3 linked regions of the Macaca fascicularis genome follow. The protein of the gene in region 2 binds, or shares a complex with, the protein of the main gene of each other region. Links are inferred from orthologs where the notes say so. Each region holds a gene or a part of one and is shown on either strand. Other genes may lie near its edges. The genes, in order: FAM181A, TEAD4 and FAM181B.

Region 1 (4,097 bases), on a different chromosome or scaffold from region 2:
ATGGGCAAAGTATTTAATTCATAACACATTTAGTAAGAAGCTACTCTGTGCCAGACTGTAGTAGGAGTCAGATTACTAAGGGTCTTCTGCATTTAGCTAAGGAGGTTAGACTTCATCTTTGACTCTAGGAACACAGGGATGTGAGAGGGCATTATTAACAATGCTAGGAGTTGGCAGGAGGCATCCTGGAGGAGGGGATGTTTGAGCTGGGCCTTGAAGAATGGCTGAGAGGACAGGGTTGGCTGAGTTGGGCCCAAGAATCAGGTTTGAGGCTTCTGTGAGTGTGTCACCAACTGTAAATGGGAAAAATAATCCCCTCTGCCCAGACACAGGACAATAATGAGAGAACACTGGGAGAACCTTCAGACTCGTATGATTACTGCTGTCTTTCCACCTGCCTATATGGCCAATCACAAAAACACAGAGAGCCTTCCCTTGTGTGGGTCAGAGGCACCGAGAGGCCTGGCCTCAAGCCATAGCTGCCTCCTCTCCCCGCTCCTCACTTCCCAAAGCTGCAGCTCCCGTATTCCTGAGTCAGGAAGGTCCAACGTTGGGCTAGAAGAGTGGAACCCAGGACGCGTGGAGAAAATCTGGTCTTGGCCAGCAGCGTTTAGGCAGTGTCTGGTGCTCATGGGAGCGCCAGGAGGCAATGTGGCCAGGCAGATCCACCTCAGCCTTTGGACGCAGACAGGCCTGGCTTCAAGTTCGAGCTCTGCTGGTTAACAGCTGTGAGGCCTTGGGAAAGTAACTCAACCTCACTTCACTTGTCAGGGCAACCGAAACACTATCCTCACGGAGCTGCCCCGAGGGTCACGTGAGGTCTTCATGTGGCTCGAATATGGCTCTTGGCACATGCTGAGTGTCTGCAAAGAATCCATTTTCTTCCACTTTTCTCTCCCCTTCCTTTCTCGCTTCCCTCTTTTCTTCCTTCTCTCTTTCCTCAAAAAGTGTTTGGTGGAAGAACAGCCCACATTCAGAGCTTTGGAAAGACTTTCATAAGACACCGACTCACCTCCCATGGAGTCCACGGGCCTGGTGGGGACTCACTACTAGCTAAGAAATGAGAGTCATCTTCATGATCTGGCAGTGCGGAATGGGCCGGCAGGGCTGCAGGTGCCGTGGGATCTCGAGGACTCTGGGAGCTGAGCTGAGTGGCTTTAAAATGTCTTGACGCCCTTAGAAGAGAAAAGATCTTCTGGAGAGCGGAATGATGCAGCCTACAGAAAGCACAGAAGGCCCGGGGAGAAAAAGGCAGGGCACAGCAAAGCAGGCTGTTATGTGGTCAGGTGCTGGCTGCCAGAGATGTTCGAACTCTTGGCTGTGCACACCAGCTTCATGCAGTAGGCAGCAGGGAGCTGGCCCTGGTGGCCGCAGGCCCTCAGGACACTCTCTCCAGCCACGTGTGCCAGGTGTTTTGGAGCAGAAAGGATATTTCCTGCCTGTACCAGTCAGGATGGGCTGGGAGTTACTGCAGAAACACATAGCCCTCGAATCTCTGGCACTTAAAATGATGATGGTTTGGCTCTCACCCGTGCAAAGGTTGCCACAGGCAGGAGCAACTCTCCAGGGCACATAGTGGCCGACAATCTAGGATGCGTCAGTCCAGCGGCGCTTCCGTCTCAGTCCACACTTCCCCGACCCCGCAGCAGGAGAGGAGCATGGAGAATACAGTGCTGGCTTTCAAGGCCTAAATTGAGTTACAGCTTGTCAGCACGGGCCATCTCCTCCAAACCCTTCATTTTGCCTGTAGGGACCCTCAGGCTGGGGGTAGGGGAGATGGCTTGGAGGCAGACCACAGCAGCTGTCTAATGGCCAGTGGGAAGGAGTTGGGGCCATCCCTCCTGGATGGAGGCCCTGGCCCTGCCCTGCCAATGCCCCCAGTCTGGGTAGGGAGACTCCAGAGAGGAGTCCTGCAACCTAAGATGCCAAATCTTAGGTTGCAGTACAGAGGCGTGGGTTGGCGCATAGACCGTCAGCCATCTGGCTGATGAGGGAGACAGGAGGACAAGGCAGTAGAAGGGGAAGAGGAAAGGAAGGGGAAGGAGAGGAGGAGGGAAGAGGAGGCTGAGCCTGGACAGAAAAACGATGAGGCTTGAAAGGGGCCCATGAGTTGGGCTGGCACGGAGGCACGACCATTAGCATTTCCCAGGCAGCCGCCCTCGCCTTCAGCCTCACCTTCCCTCTGGCCAGTTGGTGGGCAGGGCCAGCGCCGGCTCTGGGCTCCCTTGCTTGCTCAGAGCGGCCCTGCTTGCAGCCCCGCCGGCGTTGGCACGGTGACAGTAGCCAAGTGTGCAAACTTGTGCCATTGTCCGCAGGCCAGGGGGAGCCATGGAAACTGGCTAATATGACACAGGAAAATGTTTGCTGATGGCAATTCTATGGGCTTTGTCCACCTCTTTCTCCATCATGACGACTCGATTTAAGTCCCTAACTGTTTGACTACAAATGCAAGGGGACCGTGCAACGCCAACCTTTTGTCCGGCTGCGCTGAATGGGCAATTCAGGCTTTGTGCAGCTCAATTGAGGAAGCAAACATAAAGACAAGATTCCTGAGAGCTCCAGCTCCCTTCCCATGGATATCCCAGCACCTCGTTACAGAGTCCTTCCTCGGCCACCTTTTCCGACAGGCATCAGCGCACCTCCCGACCTCGAAGGCCCTCCATCCCCGATCCCTGGGGATCCTGGCAGGGAGGGTGGTGGGGATGGCAGGTGGGGGGGGGGGAGAGAGAGAGAGAGAGAGAGAGAGAGAGAGAGAGAGATGGAGAGACAGAGAGAGAGGAGAAGAGAGAGTGAGAGAGAGAGAGCCACTCAACACTCAAGGACAGCGGGAAAAGCAGCCCGCCCCAGCTTACCCCGTCCGATTGTCTGTCCGCACTGGAGCATGGCAGCTGTAGGCCTGGAGTCTTTGGGGGAGGTTTGCAAGCCTGTCTCTACTAGGCCCAGCCCCTTCTCGATCCTGGACATTTTAAACACACACACACACACACACACACACACACACACACCACCCCCTTGAGAAACCAGGGAACCGAGGTCAAGGGGAGGAGGAGCGTGGAGGCCCAGGAGAGTGGGGCTGAAGGGTAAAAATTTACCGGGAAATGATTGCATTTGGGAGCTGTCTTTTTTGTGATGGTCCCCATGGTGACAATTTGTGACGGCAAAGAATGTGGGAACGGGGCGCCGCTGCCTGATTGGGATGCTTTGTATCTGGAGAGGCGCTCCTGATTGGCCTGAGGGGCCCCCCAGCTCCGGGGAGTTGTCCTCCATTCAGCCCACTCGAGGGTTGCACAACTGCTTCCAGCCGGACGGAGCTCAGCCGGCTGCGCCAGGGCCTGTCCCAGGTCTGCAGTGGGGAACCTGCCGGGCCACGTTGGCTGGGCCCTGGCCGCACCTTCGGTCAGTGTGGAGGCCCGGTGGCTCTGGCCCGACTGGGTGGCGGGTGTGGAGCAGGCTGGGGCCTGGGGGAGGGGCGAGGTGCTGTGGGTGGCGGCCGAGGAGGCATGAAATTGCTGCAGATGCTTCTTCAGGGGAGTCCCTGCTGCCCGCAGCCTGAGATCAGCCTGCAAGGCAGGTCTCGATTAAGTGCCAGACAGGGGTCCTGCCTGGTCCTGCGTGAGAGCTGGGGGTGGAGCGTGGGGACTGAGGAGGGGGGGCTGGCGCTCCTCATGCCGGGGACGGGAGTGGTGGGAGGGGGAGGCTACCACCAGGGAGGAAGGGGGCTTGGCCTTGCTTTAAAGTGGAGCAGTTGCCTCAGCTCAGAGAATAAACACCTCGCTGGCAAGTTGGCAGCGCGGTGTGTGGGAGACGGGGCAGGCTGGGAATGTGTGCCAGCCCCAGTAATGCCACCTGTAGCTGGGTCACCTTGGGCAAGTTGCTTGACCTTTCTGAGCCTTGGCTGCAAGAAGAGGGCACCAGACGCAAGCAGGCTGGGTGAGGCTCTGCTGGCGCCTGCTGCATCCCAGGTGTGCAGGAAGTGCTCAGCCACTTGCACCCACATCCCTCTACCCAGGACTCTGTTTAAGGCTGAGGGGTGCTGGGGTGGGGACACCGTTTGCAGACAGGTGCTGTGGTCTTTTGGCAGTGTTGGGTGTGGTTGC
Region 2 (3,626 bases):
CTTCTGGGCCAGGCCCTGTTCTGGGAGCTGGGGAGACACCTGTGACGCACACAGGAAACGTCCCCGTCTCTCCAGGGCGATGCCACATTGTGATAGTTGATTCATCTGGTTATTTCCCCGACGGGAACAGAAGTTGCTGGACAGCAGGAACTGAACAGTGCCTGTTCTGGAAGCCGTGGTCCTGCAGGACCCCAGTTGCCCTCCAGAATCCAGTCTTGCTGGGCGGTTCCATGCAGAGTCCTGAGCGGCCTGAGTTGTACCAGGCGAGCCCCTCCCCACCAGAGAGGCTCCAGGATGCCCAAGCCTTGCACTCTCTCCTCCACCTCTGCTAGGAGGTCCGTTTAGGGAGACAGGCGGCCCCCCAGGCAGCACGGGTCTGTCCGAGGAGGCCGGGGGTCCTTGCAGAGGGTGCGGGCAGGGCGGGTGTCCGTGACCAGGTTCCATGTGCCTCTCTCACTTTGTGCAGGGTTTGAGTCTCCTGCAGGGCCCGCCCCATCGCCCTCTGCGCCCCCGGCACCCCCGTGGCAGGGCCGCAGCGTGGCCAGCTCCAAGCTCTGGATGTTGGAGTTCTCAGCCTTCCTGGAGCAGCAGCAGGACCCGGACACGGTAGGTCCTGGCCTGTGCCTGGCTGGCTCCCCGCCACCCCCTCTGCCTCTGTTTCTGCTTCCAGTGCTCTTGTCCCACTCCACACTGGGGCTTAATTCAAGTTCCTTGTTCCTTTATGGTCTTTCCTTCCATCCTTCCCCCGACTCCTTTCCTCCTTCACGTCACCCCCTTCCCTCTTTCCCTCCTCCCTGGCCCAGTGCCCTGTTCCTCCCTCCCTGTCCTGTGTTCCTCCCCTCCTAACCCAACCAACCCTTAGTCCAAGGTCGCTGTGGTCCCAGCCCCACCCCCACACTGTCCCAGCCTTTCCCTGGCTCTGAGAGGCAGGCAGGAAGCTGGGGAGTCTCCTGTACGTCTGCTCCACATCCTACGGGATGCCAGCCTGTCCCCTTCAGTGTCCAGTGTCCTGGGTGACCAGCGTCACCTGCAAAGATCAGAGGGGGACCTGGAGGAGGCCAGCGTGACAGGATGCCAGGGCCCTTCTCACTCTGACATCTTCAAACTTTTTTTTTTTTTCTTTTCTTGAGACAGAGACTTGCTCTGTCGCCCAGGCTGGAGTGCAGTGGTGTGATCTCAACTTACTGCAACCTCTGCCTCCTGAGTTCAAGCGATTCTCCTGCCTTAGCCTCCCGAGTAGCTGGGATTATAGGTGCCCGCCACCACACCTGGCTAATTTTTGTATTTTTAGTAGAGACTGGGTTTCACCATGTTGGCCAGGCTGGTCTTGAACTCCTAACCTCAGCTTCCCAAAGTGCTGGGATTACAGGTGTGAGCCACTGTGCCCAGCTCAAACTTCTTTTTAACTGACGACCCTGTGAACCGAATAGACTCTTAGAAGTTCAGGATGTAAAATAAAAGAAGTCTTTTACCATCTCCATTTCACTTACGGGGAAACTATGGTCCAGAAAGGCCAAGCGGCTTGCGCCGGGTCACGTGGTGGGCATGCAGAGCTGGGACTGTCTGACCGTCTGGCCTGTGCTCCGCCTCCCTCAGACCCACTCTCTCTACAGTACAACAAGCACCTGTTCGTGCACATTGGCCAGTCCAGCCCAAGCTACAGCGACCCCTACCTCGAAGCCGTGGACATCCGCCAAATCTATGACAAATTCCCGGAGAAAAAGGGTGGACTCAAGGAGCTCTTTGAACGGGGACCCTCCAATGCCTTTTTTCTCGTGAAGTTCTGGGTAAGCCTGTGATAAACTCTTCCTTCCTACCACCAGGGCGTCCGTGGTAGTGAGAATGGGGCGAGAGTACCCAGAGCGTGCCCTTGCCACAGTAGAAACTTGGGGAGGTGGCACCAGTGAGAAGGGGAGAGCAAGCCCAGCATGGCTATGGGGTGGTCAGAGCTGAGCTGAGGAACAAGGCGGTGATCCCAGAGAGCTGGCCTAGTCGAATGAAGCCTTGTCTCGTGGGTGGTGATGGCAGCTAACCCCGGCAAGACGTGGAGCCCTCAGGAGGTGAAGTTCCAGAAAAAGACAAAGGGGACCCTACGGGGATGAGTGAAGACATTATGAGGAGCGCCCTTGTCACCCAGGTCTTTGAATGACAAGTCCTGCATGGGTTTCTGGGCCTGGAGCTTGTCCTTCAGTGCTCATGTCCAAGGCATGTTGGGCTGAACAGAGCTTGGAGAAGGGGAGGGAAGTGTTGGATGGGCGAGGCCACCCCAGAAGAAACACCCACCCAACTTCTCAGATAGCTCAGCCCATAGACTTGGCCTCTGCGGCCCTCCCACCTCACCCCTGGGCAGGTGTTTTGTGGGTAGAACCCCCTCCATTAGAAACGTCTTGTCTGAGGCCCAGAGGTACAGTAGCTGCCCTGGGAGCTTAGCTTCCTGCGGGCCCAGTATGTGCAGAAAAGGGGTGCGAGGAGAGAGTCAGACAGATAAGTGCTAATGAAGCCAGCAGTGAGGAAGGACAGGAAATCAGGCTCTGTGACTGAGGGTTGGAATATTCTCAGGACATGGACTGAGGTTTTGGTGGCTCTGCCCGCATCCCTCTTCCCCACTCCCCTTCAGCTCTCTGCACACTCTTTTCTTTTTTTTTTTTGAGACGGAGTCTCGCTCTGTCGCCCAGGTTGGAGTGCAGTGGCGCGATCTCGGCTCACTGCAAGCTCCGCCTCCTGGGTTCACGGCATTCTCCTGCCTCAGCCTCCCCAGTAGCTGGGACTACAGGCGCCTGCCACCACGCCCGGCTAATTTTGTTTTGTATTTTTTTTTTTTTTTTTTTTTGGGACGGAGTGTCGCTCTGTCGCCCAGGCTGGAGTGCAGTGGCCGGATCTCAGCTCACTGCAAGCTCCGCCTCCCGGGTTTACGCCATTCTCGTGCCTCAGCCTCCCGAGTAGCTGGGACTACAGGCGCCTGCCACCTCGCCCGGCTAGTTTTTTGTATTTTTAGTAGAGACGGGGCTTCACCGTGTTAGCCAGGATGGTCTCGATCTCCTGACCTTGTGATCCGCCCGCCTCGGCCTCCCAAAGTGCTGGGATTACAGGCGCGAGCCACCACGCCCGGCCTTACACGTTCTTTTCGATGCCTCTTGTGCAGAGATTCTTACCATTTATTTGCTCCCAGGCCATTTTCCTAATCTGAAAGCTTTACTTTTCCTAGAAAGACGCGTATTCACACCAAAGTTTACATACACGTTCGGATGGCTTTGCCAGCTCCCAGTGAGCAGCCCCCAGCCTGGCTGTCACCCACAGCTGAACGTGGGGGCAGGCTGTCTCCAGAAGGGACAAGTGTTGGAACTGAGACCTATGGCCTCTGACCTTCAAGACACTTAGCGTTTGCGCTCAACTAGCAGGATGGAAGTTGGACCCCAGCCTGAGGGATGGGCATATCTGTTGGCAGAGATGGGCAAGGCTGTTGCAGCCTAGGAGTGCATGAGTAGTAAAGGCAGAAGGAAGTGAGCTCTGGAGTGAAGTTGAAGCCGTAGGTAAAGGTATGAAAGAGGGAATAAGAGGAGACAACTGGGAAAGTGAGTTACATTCTGGAAGGTCTTGATCATGCTAAAGTTTGAGTTTTAACCTGT
Region 3 (3,863 bases), on a different chromosome or scaffold from region 2:
AAAGGATTGATCAGTGTATTACATGCATTTCAACCTACAATATTTTCAACTTATGATGGGTTTATCAGGATGTTGCTCCATCATAAATCGAGAAGCATCTGTGATCTCACTTAATGCTCATGTACACCCTATGATCCAGAAGACACATAAGGGAATATAGTCACCTTTTTGTGTTTCAGAGAAGTAAGGGTGAATACTCATCCAGGCTATGGAATAATGTATCATTTAAACATCACAGTTGCCCTGTGGGGAGGGCAACTTTACCTGCTTTTAACATGAGTAAGCTAAACAGAGTACGCTGGTTTGTCTAAAGCCATGAACTCAGCAGAGCAAGGATTTCAACCTAAGTCAAGAGGTTATTGAGTGGTGGCTAAGACCAGAATCCAACCCTTTTCTGAATTTCTTATGAAAATGACCTTATTGCTCATTTTCTCTATCTATCCCAAAAGGATTGCCCAGGTGAAATTAGTTTTAAGTGAACTTCAAGATGATTCTCCAAATGCAACGAAAATTCCAGGATAACCTAAATGGTATGACAGGTAGGGGAGAGGTTCCAATCCGTCTTTTGTTCTAACATGCTAAGAGTTTTATACACACACGGTGTTCTCAAGCAACAGGGGACTTAGCCAGATTGACTCCTTTCTCCATTGCCTCCCGCTATGTATTAATAAAAGATGGGCCACTGCTGGCCTCAATTTACTGTTAGCCAATTGTTACTCATAACAATCAAGTGGCAAACAGTCAAGAAGAAAGAGCACTGGGCTTGAGAATCCTGGGAAAACTCAGGTTAGAACCTTAGGATCAGGTCTAGAGCTTTAAGAAATACTCATTTTCCTCCCCCATCTTATAGATGAGAAAGGCAAGGGCAAGAGAGGACGCAAGCATTGTCAGGGGCTTAGGAATGGCTTTGGTGTCAGACTGGGCTAGATCTGACCTTGGCCAACTCACTGAACCTCCCTGAGACGCAGTGTCCACATTTGTTGAACGGTGATAACATGTAATTCACAGGGCTGTTGTTCAAGGATTAAATGAGATAATAGATGGACAGCGCCTGGCAGAAGCAAGCGCCCAGAAGCTGGTAGGTGTTGTTACACAGCTGGACTGAAACCCCACGTCTCTAGACTCCCGCCTTCTTGCCTCAGGAAAGGCACCACCGCAAGTACCTGCAGAAGCATATCAAGCCCTGCAGCGGCCTCACGGGCATGAGCTGGAGTTTGGGGACCAGCCATCTCTTCCTAACCCCTTGCGGTTGGAGGAGTCAAAAGAAACGCCGCGGAGCAAAGGGAAACGAAGGGGTTAAGGCGTTGAGCTTGAGAAAGCTCAGAAAACTAAAGCGACCCCCCGCCCCTCCAAGCCAGGCTAAGTAAGCCCCTCCCCTGCACCACCGGGGCGGTCGCCGCGCGCTCCCTCCCTCCGCCCCTTGCTTACAAGACCTAATGAGCTCCCCTGGGAGGCCGCGCAGCGAGCCAGGCACGGAGCTGGTAGGCTGCGCCGCGCGCGCCGCGCCGGGGCGGGAGCCGGGCCTGGGCGGCGGGCAGGAGCCGGCGGGGGCGCACGGGTAGCGCTGCGGACAGCCGGGGAGCCGCGGCGATGGCGGTGCAGGCGGCGCTCCTCAGCACGCACCCTTTCGTGCCCTTCGGCTTCGGGGGCTCCCCGGACGGGCTAGGGGGCGCCTTCGGAGCCCTGGACAAGGGCTGCTGTTTCGAGGACGATGAGACCGGGGCTCCGGCGGGCGCGCTGCTCTCGGGAGCCGAAGGAGGGGACGTGCGCGAGGCCACCCGCGATCTACTCAGCTTCATTGACTCGGCGTCCAGCAACATCAAGCTGGCGCTGGACAAGCCGGGCAAGTCGAAGCGGAAGGTGAACCACCGCAAGTACCTGCAGAAGCAGATCAAGCGCTGCAGCGGCCTCATGGGCGCCGTGCCCCCCGGCCCGCCCTCCCCGAGCGCCACTGACACGCCCGCCAAACGGCCACTGGCCGCCCCTAGCGCCCCGACAGTCGCGGCCCCGGCCCACGGCAAGGCTGTCCCCCGGCGGGAGGCGTCTCAGGCCGCGGCGGCCGCCAGCTTGCAAAGTCGAAGTCTGGCCGCGCTCTTCGACTCGCTACGCCACGTCCCCGGGGGTGCCGAGCCGGCAGGGGGTGCGGTGGCTGCACCGGTGGCCGGGCTAGGAGGTGCGGGCACTGGGGGCGCCGGAGGGGACGCGGCCGGCCCCGCGGGGGCCACGGCGGTCCCAGGGGCCAGGAAGGTCCCACTGCGGGCCCGCAATCTGCCTCCGTCCTTCTTCACGGAGCCGTCCCGGGCAGGCGGCGGCGGGTGTGGCCTGTCGGGGCCGGACGTGAGCTTGGGCGACCTGGAGAAGGGCGCGGAGGCCGTGGAGTTCTTTGAGCTGCTGGGGCCCGACTACGGCGCCGGCACCGAGGCGGCCGTCTTGCTGGCCGCTGAGCCTCTCGACGTGTTCCCCGCCGGAGCCTCCGTACTGCGGGGACCCCCGGAGCTGGAGTCCGGCCTCTTTGACCCGGCGCCCGCAGTGGTGGGAAACCTACTGTACCCCGAGCCCTGGAGCGTCCCGGGCTGCCCCCCGACCAAAAAGCCCCCCCTGACTGCCCCCCGCGGCGGCTTGACCTTGAACGAGCCCTTGCGCCCGCTGTACCCGGCTGCTGCGGACTCTCCCGGTGGGGAGGACGGGCCGGGCCATTTGGCCTCTTTCTCCCCTTTCTTTCCAGACTGCGCCCTGCCCCCGCCGCCGCCGCCCCATCAGGTGTCCTATGATTACAGCGCGGGCTACAGCCGCAACGCTTATTCCAGCCTTTGGAGACCCGACGCGGTTTGGGAAGGGGCGCCGGGGGAGGAGGGGGCGCACCGGGACTGACTTGGAGGCACCCTTCCCTCCGTTAGAGACGGATGTGGAGAGCGCCGCGCCTCCATGGGTTTCTCCTAAATCTAAAGAACGGTGGAAAATACACGTGGAGATGAAACCGGATTTTTAAAAATTCAGTTAATAAAAGCAACTTCAGAAAAAAGAGATGAAGAGGAGTTGGGGATTGTTTAATCACAACCTCACGTGTTAAAACAAAACCAAACACGTTGGTAGGTTCTTACTGGACCAGAGGAGCCAAGAAACCAAGACGGTATGGGGTGGGGACGGCAGAAGGGGCAAGAGCTGGCTTCTGTAGCCACCTGTCTTTTCTATTTTTCAGCGAAGGTCAGTGTGTTTAGTGTAATTGCCCCTTCTAAACAGTGTCCTAGTCCCTCCCTTCCCTCTCCTTGAGTGCATTTTGAATTAAAGCGTATATTGAAAAGAATGGAGCGGAGACTTATTGATTTGGGTGTTTTCTTACAGGACGGTTTTTCGTCTGGTCCCTTGGCTTTGTTAGGTGAGCCTGTGGCTGAGGACGGAGGCCGGTGGTCCACTGCTGACCTCCTTTGCTGGTCCTTGGGTAGGGTTCTCTTCTGTCACACTTTAACGTTTTTGTTTTTTTTTTTTTCCTGCCCGCTTCTTGCTTCTATCTCCTTCCACCCTTATCAGTCCCAGTGCTTACTTTCCTTCTTTCTTTGCCTGGCCTCTCATTGCTCTATTTCTTTCGGCCAGCTTTTCTTGCTCATCTCTTTTGTAGGAGACTTAAATTTGGCAAACCTGGGTTCCATTTCTCTCCTGTCTTTCCCCCATTTTCCAGCCACTTTGGGAGGGAGAGATTGGGCAAATTGTAACCTCTTTGTATCAGTTTCCTGATCTAAGAGGGTGAGGATGGTAATGTTCTTGTACTCCACAGCTGGTTGGGTAGCTCAGGGGGAAATAAAGTGTCTTGAGGCTGTGGCGGTGCTTGATTGGTTCTGCTGTGTGTACACAAATGGTTTCTACAC

What was found.
Region 1: the proteins of TEAD4 (region 2) and FAM181A are in contact, whole or in part, in a crystal structure (PDB 6SEN), measured with the Homo sapiens proteins. The link is inferred for Macaca fascicularis from reciprocal best matches to the Homo sapiens genes TEAD4 and FAM181A. Residues at the interface, in NP_003204.2 of Homo sapiens: Glu263, Ala264, Val265, Gln269, Ile270, Asp272, Lys273, Leu295, Lys297, Trp299, Glu391, Val414, Glu416, Ser418, Ala419, Ser420, Gly423, Gln425, His426, His427, Tyr429; in NP_612353.3 of Homo sapiens: Pro191, Met192, Arg195, Gln196, Leu197, Pro198, Ser200, Phe201, Trp202, Glu203, Glu204, Pro205.
Region 3: the proteins of TEAD4 (region 2) and FAM181B are in contact, whole or in part, in a crystal structure (PDB 6SEO), measured with the Homo sapiens proteins. The link is inferred for Macaca fascicularis from reciprocal best matches to the Homo sapiens genes TEAD4 and FAM181B. Residues at the interface, in NP_003204.2 of Homo sapiens: Glu263, Ala264, Val265, Asp266, Gln269, Ile270, Asp272, Lys273, Leu295, Lys297, Trp299, Glu391, Val414, Glu416, Val417, Ser418, Ala419, Ser420, Gly423, Gln425, His426, His427, Tyr429; in NP_787081.2 of Homo sapiens: Pro221, Leu222, Arg223, Arg225, Asn226, Leu227, Pro228, Ser230, Phe231, Phe232, Thr233, Glu234, Pro235.

What each region holds. Positions count from the first base shown.
Region 1 is NC_088381.1:161,937,059-161,941,155, forward strand, and holds the start of FAM181A (protein FAM181A), read left to right. Parts: upstream 1-1,262; 5' UTR 1,263-1,278; intron 1,279-3,285; exon of another isoform or gene 3,286-3,396; intron 3,397-4,097.
Region 2 is NC_088385.1:3,905,568-3,909,193, forward strand, and holds part of TEAD4 (transcriptional enhancer factor TEF-3), read left to right. Parts: intron 1-466; coding exon 467-606; intron 607-1,613; coding exon 1,614-1,787; intron 1,788-3,626. UniProt on the Homo sapiens protein: Transcription factor which plays a key role in the Hippo signaling pathway, a pathway involved in organ size control and tumor suppression by restricting proliferation and promoting apoptosis.
Region 3 is NC_088388.1:81,723,700-81,727,562, reverse strand, and holds FAM181B (protein FAM181B), read left to right. Parts: upstream 1-1,456; 5' UTR 1,457-1,590; coding exon 1,591-2,871; 3' UTR 2,872-3,304; downstream 3,305-3,863.